Cricetulus griseus: one gene and its partner. The protein of the gene in region 1 interacts with the protein of each later gene in a biochemical or structural test. Links are inferred from orthologs where the notes say so. Each region holds a gene or a part of one and is shown on either strand. Other genes may lie near its edges.

What was found.
Region 2: the proteins of Klkb1 (region 1) and Kng1 form a complex in vitro, tested with the Homo sapiens proteins (4 studies listed by BioGRID). The link is inferred for Cricetulus griseus from reciprocal best matches to the Homo sapiens genes KLKB1 and KNG1.

The regions. Positions count from the first base shown.
Region 1 is NW_023276807.1:41,200,110-41,203,931, reverse strand, and holds part of Klkb1 (plasma kallikrein), read right to left. Parts: intron 3,315-3,822; coding exon 3,155-3,314; intron 2,751-3,154; coding exon 2,641-2,750; intron 1-2,640. UniProt on the Homo sapiens protein: Participates in the surface-dependent activation of blood coagulation. Activates, in a reciprocal reaction, coagulation factor XII/F12 after binding to negatively charged surfaces.
Region 2 is NC_048597.1:65,892,419-65,896,732, forward strand, and holds the start of Kng1 (kininogen-1), read right to left. Parts: upstream 3,011-4,314; 5' UTR 2,923-3,010; coding exon 2,728-2,922; intron 1-2,727. UniProt on the Homo sapiens protein: Kininogens are inhibitors of thiol proteases.

The DNA of each region.
Region 1 (3,822 bases):
AAGGAGTCCTGGTGATTCGGTAACATGAAGACATCTGCCTGTGTGGTGGAAATGACTGTCAGGGAAGATACCAAGCCATTAGTATGGAAAGATTCTCTTAGTTAGAATTGCAAATAGTATTGACTCACTAATGGGGGAGGTGTGGTTATCTCCAAAGCTCTCAAAATCCATGCAGGAAACTGCTGAAAACTAGTCTTTAAATACAGTTCATTTTGAGTTGTGTGAGGTAAGAGGCTAGCCGTTTCAAAGAAGGGAGGATATAGGTAGGACATTTGTGTGACTCTAAGTGGTAGGTCTAAGTGGTTGGTCTGCTAAGTGACCATAGCATATGGTTTTACCCATATGCTGTTTTTTCCTTCCTAAAGTTAAAGGCATTGTGGATAAAATTGAGAAAAGGGTGTGGTAATGACTAATAAATTTAATTTAGGCCTTTAGGTCCGGAGACAGCCTTCCTGCGGCTTTGGTTGGCATGCAAGGGATGTGAAGAGCCCTGCCTCTTAAAAATCACAGGCATTTTCTGAGATATCCAGGATTTTTATCACTCTGTGAAGGACACTTAATCAGACTGAAGAAATGTGAGAACTCATAGCACTCAAGAAAGCAAGTACAGGGCAGTCTGAGACTGGGCATGCGGGATACTCTCTGAGGCTGTGGACAGCACTTTGAGGCAGAACAAAAGAATATTGTCACGTCTTCCCTGAGCATAAAAATACTTGCAGCAGTGTGCTGTTAAGACTGGAGGGTGGTTTGCCCTCAGCAAAAATCTCCTGGTGTAGCTTGTTGTCCGATGGGGCAGTGCTGGGTGATATGGCCTGGGGGAAGTCATGAAGGCATAGCCCACATGAACGGACCTTTCTTGTATGAGTGAGTTCCTGCTCTCTCTGAACTATATCAGTTCCCACAAGGGCAGGTTGTTCTAAACCAAGGCTTCCTCTTGTGTTCCTTGTCTTCCACACATATTCATTCTTTCTGCCTTTTTCTACCATGCTGTAATGCAGTATAAAGTCCTGTGGTGGCGAGTGTTATATTCAGAGGATAAATTTCCTGTGCTAGCCTTGTAAAACCAGAATTGTTTTTAACTTTCACAAGCCATGCTGAAGTTACTCCTACCTGAATGTACCCTGTCAGCTTGCCTGAGATGGACCACTTCCTGGAATGGTTGGGCTATTCTAAAAAAAAATAAATAAATAAAAGAGCTGATTGTTACAAAATATTTCACTGTCTCAGCTAGTCCTACAAGGTCATAAGATTGAACAAGCTAACTGCTACGCTCTGGTTTTGCATGAAACGCTTGCTTGGAAGGCTGAGGCACCTGCTGGTTATCTGTTACAAAATGGAGCTTTGCCCACACCCAGACAGGATATTAGTTAATTTGGTTTCCCTTATTTATAATTCTGTGGGTTTTGTCTTTATAATCCTTTGTCTAACAATAGCTGGGCCTTACCTAGAGAACTCTCTCTGGTTTGATCCTGGCCAGTCTTTTTAATAAAAAGTCTCTATTTTACTAAAACCAAAACTTGAGTGAGACTGGTAGTGAATCTCTGAATGACCCCAGACTCACAACAGCCCTTGCTAGATATGACTACTACGCCTTCTTTAGCTTCCTGGGCTGCAGAATCATGAGCTAGAAGAGGCTTGGCATTTGGGTATGGCTGCAGACAAGCAGTCTAAGATAAGCATGATATACAGAACAGAACACATTTGAGTAAAGGGCCCCATCTCCTGTAGAAAAGCTTTCAAAAACTAGAAAAGTGGGAATTAAAACTAAATAATTAACAAATTTGAGCCAACTGAATGGGACAGTATAGAGAGAATATGTTGAGAAAAAAAATACAAATAGGAAGAGAGATAGGTTGTTTTGGCTTCTCCATTTTTCATAGAGAGGTCATATCCCAGAGCTCAGAACCAATACAGTGCGTGGCATAGAGCCAACATTCAGTATTGGCACTCTTTACTATAAGTGGTATGGTTTCAGTAAATCTCACCACTGGCACCTTGATGAGCTAAATATGATGGTGCTTGTCTGGATAATTCAACTGAAGCTACATCTGTGTCTGGAATGATAGGCCTTTGTTGATTCATGGTAATATGTCTTTCTCACCAGATATGGACACCAACGACACGGTTTTCTCTATAGTGTCACTGTACTTTCCTAATGCTGTTGTTGTAGGAATGTACAATAAAACTAGAGATTTATGCAATATAAACATATTATCTTTTAGTACTAGAGATCAGAAGGCCAAAGTAAGTCTGACTGGGTGACAGTCCAAAGGTTGGCTTGGCTCTGTTCCTCTGGAAGAGCATGTAGGGAGATCTGTTCCATGCCCCTTTCCTTTGACAGGTCATGGCATCCATTTGCTTTAGGATTCTTTCACCTTTAAAGGCAGCAATGTAACCCTTTCAAGTCTTTTTACCTCTGACTTGGACCCCTCTGTTTCCCTCTTTATCACATTCAGACTCTTGAGACTGGATAGAGCACATTCTGGTAATCCAGAGAATTCTTATTTCCAAGATGTATTTCCCATATAATTAATTGCATCTACACAAACCCTTTGGCCAAATGCATCATATCCCTGAGAGTGGGCTCATGTATATTTCTGGGCATTCTCATTTAGCACATCACAATCACGGTGGAATTACCAATCTCTGAAAGGGCACAGGGCTTCAGCGAGAATCCAGATACCAAGTTATCCATTGTCTTTATACTGGTGGGTGTTCCACTTGAGCTATGCTTCAGCAGGCAGTTGTTCCTGAATGTCAACAAAAGATGTTGTTATGTTTCTTAAGGTGCATAAAATTGTGTGGGTAACAATTGCTATTGAAATGATAACCACAGCAGTGCATGGTTGGGCCATTATTAATCAGTAGATACTCTTCCCTTCAGCATAGGGCAGTTTAGGGTATGAATGGGGTGGCAGATATCATTGTCTGACACTACACCTTCATTCCATGCACAGCCTATGGGTACCTTTGAAGTTTAGTATCTTTTGGGGAAAGGTGCCATGCCATTGAAATTAAGTCTGTAAATAAGGAAAATGCTCAGGACTGAACTCCCTTTGCACTTTCATTGGAGGAAAAACAGACTTTTTTTTTCATGAAGGATGCTGTTGAATCCTGGAGTGTTCTCGTGGGGAAACCATTCAGCCTCACTCACCGGTACTCAGGGCTGTGAAATGCATTTGTAGCATACGTGAAAAATTGGCAGTGGATATTGTTTGTGCACAATTTCTGGCATTCTTCAATACTGTTACTCTTAGATATGTTGAAGTTGGATCCTCTCATATCAAGTCCTTCGTATATGTCTTGGTGGCATGCTGAAATGAAACACATAGACACATTCAGCCAAATTTCTTTCTAGACAGACCAAACTGCTCTTCGGTGGGAGCCATTTTGAAGGTCAGTATCCCCTATTTGGTGACTTCCCTGATAAGTGCAGGTTTTAAAATTTTTATTGGGTATCTAAATTATCAAACCCTGCTGGGTGTTAGCACACCCCAGTGTGTTTATCTGACCCCTGTTGTACCAGCATTAAAAGCAGGTTATTTTGCTTCCTAACCTGCAAGGTGCATACTACAACAGTTTCACATTGAAGTTACCAGTGGCACTGATAAACAAACAAGGCAGTAATAACAGTCCAGCTAGTATGTGCCAGAGATTAAAAGTATTTGACGAATTGGTGTACCTTTGATTTCTTGGAGGGGGGCGGGGAGAGGGGGACAAAAAACTACAACAAAACCCATGATCTGTGTCTATTTCTCTTCTTCACCTACTTGGATCTGATTGTGATTTGTGACTGCAGGTCTCACTGCTGACATCTGTGGT
Region 2 (4,314 bases), on another chromosome or scaffold:
AAGCCTGTATGATTGAGGGGCCTAGGGGACTGAGATAGGAGGACCTTGAGTTCAAGGCCAACAGAGCTACATAATGAGGCCCTGCCTCAAAAAACCCAAGGGCCAGGGTTCAGCTTAGTGTTTGCCTGATGTGTGCCCTGGCCTGCATCCCCAGTGACAGAGAGGGGAAGCCCACTACACAGACATTGTACAACAAAACACCCATGTACTCCATCCATCACCCAGTGGAGGTACTAGTGGACTGAGGCCCCAGAGTGCCTGGAAGCAGAATTCACACCGTGCTGGAGAGAGAAACAAAAGGCTTTGTTTTATCTGTGGGAAACAAACACATAAGTCTACATCCATTAGGGTTTTCTTTTTATCCTCACATCAAATGACTGGATTTTGTTTTTCTGCTGAAGAAACTTGACTTATCCAAAGAAAGAGTCTTTGAAAGTGAAATTTATTATTTATCTTTTTGAAAGCTTTTCAATTTTAAAGTTTTATTTCTGCTGAGTAGTTCTCCATTGTGCAAATGTACCACAATTTCTTTATCCATTCTTCAGTTGAGGGGCATCTAGGCTGCTTCCAGTTTCTGGCTATTACAGATAGTGCTGCTATGAACATCGTTGAACAGATGTCTTTGTTGTATGAATGTGCTTCTTTTGGATATATGCCTAGGAGTGGAATTGCTGGATCTTGTGGTAGACTCATTCCCATTTTCTTGAGGAGTTGCCATACTGATTTCCCAAGTGGCTGTACAAGTTGGCACTCCCACCAGCAGTGGAGAAGTGTTCCACTTTCTCCACATCCTCTCCAGCATAAACTGTCATTAGTGTTTTTGATTTTTAGCCATTCTGACAGGGGTAAGATGGTGTCTCAGAGTTGTTTTGATTTGCATTTCCCTGATGGCTAAGGATATTGAACACTTTCTTATGTGTCTTTCAGACACTTTAGATACCTTTATTGAGAATTGTCTATTTAGTTCTGTACCCCACTTTTTAATGGAGTACTACTCAGCAGAAAAAAAAAACCAATGGAATCTTGAAATTTGTAGGAAAATGAATGGAACTCGAAGAAACCATTCTGAGCGAGGTAACCCAATCACAAAAAGACAAACATGATATGTACTCACTCATATGTGGATTTTAGACATAGAGTAAGGGATTACCAGCCTACAATCCACACTGCCAGAGAAACTAGTAAACAAGGAGGACCCTAAAAGAGACAAACTTTGTCCCCTGAAGAAGGGGAAAGGGTCACCATCCCCTGAGCAAATTGAGAATATGGGAAGAGGGGGGAGGGAGCTACAAGAATGAGAAGGGAAGAAAAGGAAGAATGCAGAGGTCATGAGGGAGCAGAAAGGTTGAGTCAAGTGTAGATTAGAAGAAAGGATATGTGATAGATAGGGTTTTAGTTAGGGGGGTGGTAGAGGAGGAAGGGAGGGAGAAGGGAACTGGGATTGTCATGTAATTCAATCTTGTTTGTAATTCAAATAAAAAAAAGTCAAAAAAAGAATAAAAAAACATAGTTTCTTAGTTTGGAAAATTAATGAAATTTTGACACTAATTAGCTAGCTGTCTGTGTATTTTATAACAAGACTTTCTGATTAGTAAAAGAGAACCAATGTTAACTGTGTGGAACTCTCTCATATCTTAGTTAACTCCACCCAGGGAAAATATGCAATTGGGTCTAGGTTTTCTTTTTTCTTTTTTTTAATAAATGTTACTAATAGCTTAAAAAAGTTTTTATTTTATGTGTATGTGTGTTTGCCTGAAGGTATGTATATGTACTACATGTGTGCCTGATGCCAGTTGTGGCCAAAAGAGTTACCAGATCCCCTGGAACTAGAGTTATAGATGGTTTTGAGCTACCATGGGGCTGGGAACTGAACCCAGGTCCTCTGCAAGCGTACCCAGTGCCCTGAACCACTGAGCCATCTCTCCAGTCTCTAAACTTTTTTTTTTTTTTTTTTAAATCTTGTTGTTTGAGACAGGGTCTCCCTATGTAGTCTTAGCTGTCCTAGAACTCACTCTGTAGACCAGGCTGGCCTGGAAGTCAGAGATCCACCTGACTCTGCCTGCCAAATGCTGGGGTTAAAGGCGTGTGCCACCATCACCCAGAAATTTTTTCTAAACTCTTAAAGATTTTGTCTTTCTTAGATTTATGGATCCTGCCTACATTTGTCTCCTACCTTAGTGCACTAATGCAGAAATGAAAGCATAGTAAAAACTAGCCTAATGGGCTGGGGGTGTAGTTGCCTAGTCTGTCCTGTGTTTGATTCTCTGGTACCACATAAACCTGACGTGGTGGCACATCCCTGTAATTATAGGGAGATGGAGGCAGGACGATGAAAAGTTTAAGTTTATGGTCATCACCATAACAATTTGGTGGTTAGTCTAAAGCTACATGACACCCTGCCCCAGCCTCCCTGCATCCCCCCAAAACTGAAGAAAACTAATGGAAACATTGCTATTAACCTCAAAGAATCAGCCACACACACTCGGTGGTATTCATGTGGTCCAAGGTAATAATTCCCACTTACTCTCCTCTTACTCCCGTTATTCATCCCCATACCCAACTCCCACTTTAGGCAGGAGGTCACTGAGTTCACAGACCCAGTGCATTCTCCTGTTGCAAGCTGATGAAGTTGCTGGATTCCCCACAATGCCTTGTCCCTTCCTGTCCTCCAGTGCCATGCCAGAGAGCACAGATTATAAGCAATTTCACAGTTAAGCAGCCACTCACCATTTTAGTGCCCTCAGTCACTCGGTACAACATGAACTGGTTGCCGCTTTGGTTCCCAGCGTTATACTTCTTCAGAGCCACATCCACAGCCAGGAATACATCCTCGTCATTGCAGTCAATTTCCTGGGAGACTTCTCCCTGTGTTAAACTCGGTAGCAGCCTGGAGCAGAGGAACAGGATAGTAATTAGCTTCATGATTTAAGTTTCCCTCCCAAATGGCGGGGATGGTTTTGCCAAGGACTGGAAGCCAGCTTAGAAACTGCTTTTTAGCAGCTTCTCTGGTCTGTCCTGTCCTGTCTCTCCCTGCCTCGCCACTGGAGACCTATTTGGATTCCTGCTGTCACAAGCTGTTTGTCCTCTTCCCAAAGAACAAATACAACTCTGCACGCTGTCCAAGCAGGTTTCAGGCTGGAACATTGCGACATCGAGGTTGTTGACCTGCTCGTTTGCCTTTGGAAAGAATGTGGGAGTAGGGAGCCCGTTTCCAAAACGTTGCACAACTTTGTACAGTAAATTAGAGCAGAAACCAATAAAAGAGGAGCTAAAACCAACAACCAATCCCGTTATCTTCTTGTGACTTTACTGGACTGGTTGCAAAGGTCTCTGCATGTGTGAACAATGAGGCCAGTGTACAAACACCTCCCATACGGAATTGCTAGTGGGATATTAATGTGTACAGGAGCAGACTGCTGTCAGTTCTGGCGCGTTCCTGAAAAGCACAAGCACAGAAAGGACACTGGCACACCTGAAAACCAGCCTCTCTGCTCAATTCTACTAGCTCAAGGGAAGGGAGAGGCCAGCAGGAGCCCAGCAGGTCAAAGTGCTTGCCTCACGAGCCTCATGCTGACAACTTGAGTTTGATGTCTGGGAGTCAGACAAAAAACTGTGGATGGTGGCACACATTTGTAGTCCTGGCATTCCTACTGTGATCCATGAGGTGGAGACACGAGGATTGCCAGGAAGCTCACAGGCTGGTAGCCTGGAGTATGAGAGCAGGAGAAACAAGGAGACCTGTCTTACCAAGGTGGATGGTGAGGCTCCCACTCCTGAGAGGTCTCTGACCTTTACATGTGGGCTGTGGCTTTGTGCTGCCTTATACATTCTCATCCTCTCTGTATAAACACACACAATAATAATAATGAAGAAAAGAAAGGAAGGACAGAGGGAAGGAAGAAGAAAAAGAGAAAGAAGAAATAAAAGAAACCTCTAGTTTGCAATGGAGCCTGCCTGAGAGGCCCTGAGGTGGGGTGCTGTCACCATGGGTTGAATGGTGACTTTATAGGAGCAGGCAGAAACAGTCCCTTGGCTGGAGATCCTAGATGGATGTCAATCTGGCCTCTACTCCTGAACTTCTATGTGATTGAGACTGAACAGGCATGTGCATGTATGCCAATTGTGTATGTGTATGTTTCCTGTCTGGGTGTGAATGAGTGTGAGTTTATGTCTGCCCATGTGTGTGTTTGTGAGTCAGAGTCTTAACCATCCCATCTCTATTTCTTCACCCAAAGAATGTGGAAACCTTTTTTTTTTGTTTGTTTGTTTCTGAGACAGGGTTTTTCTGTGTAGCCTTGGCTGTTCTGGAACTTG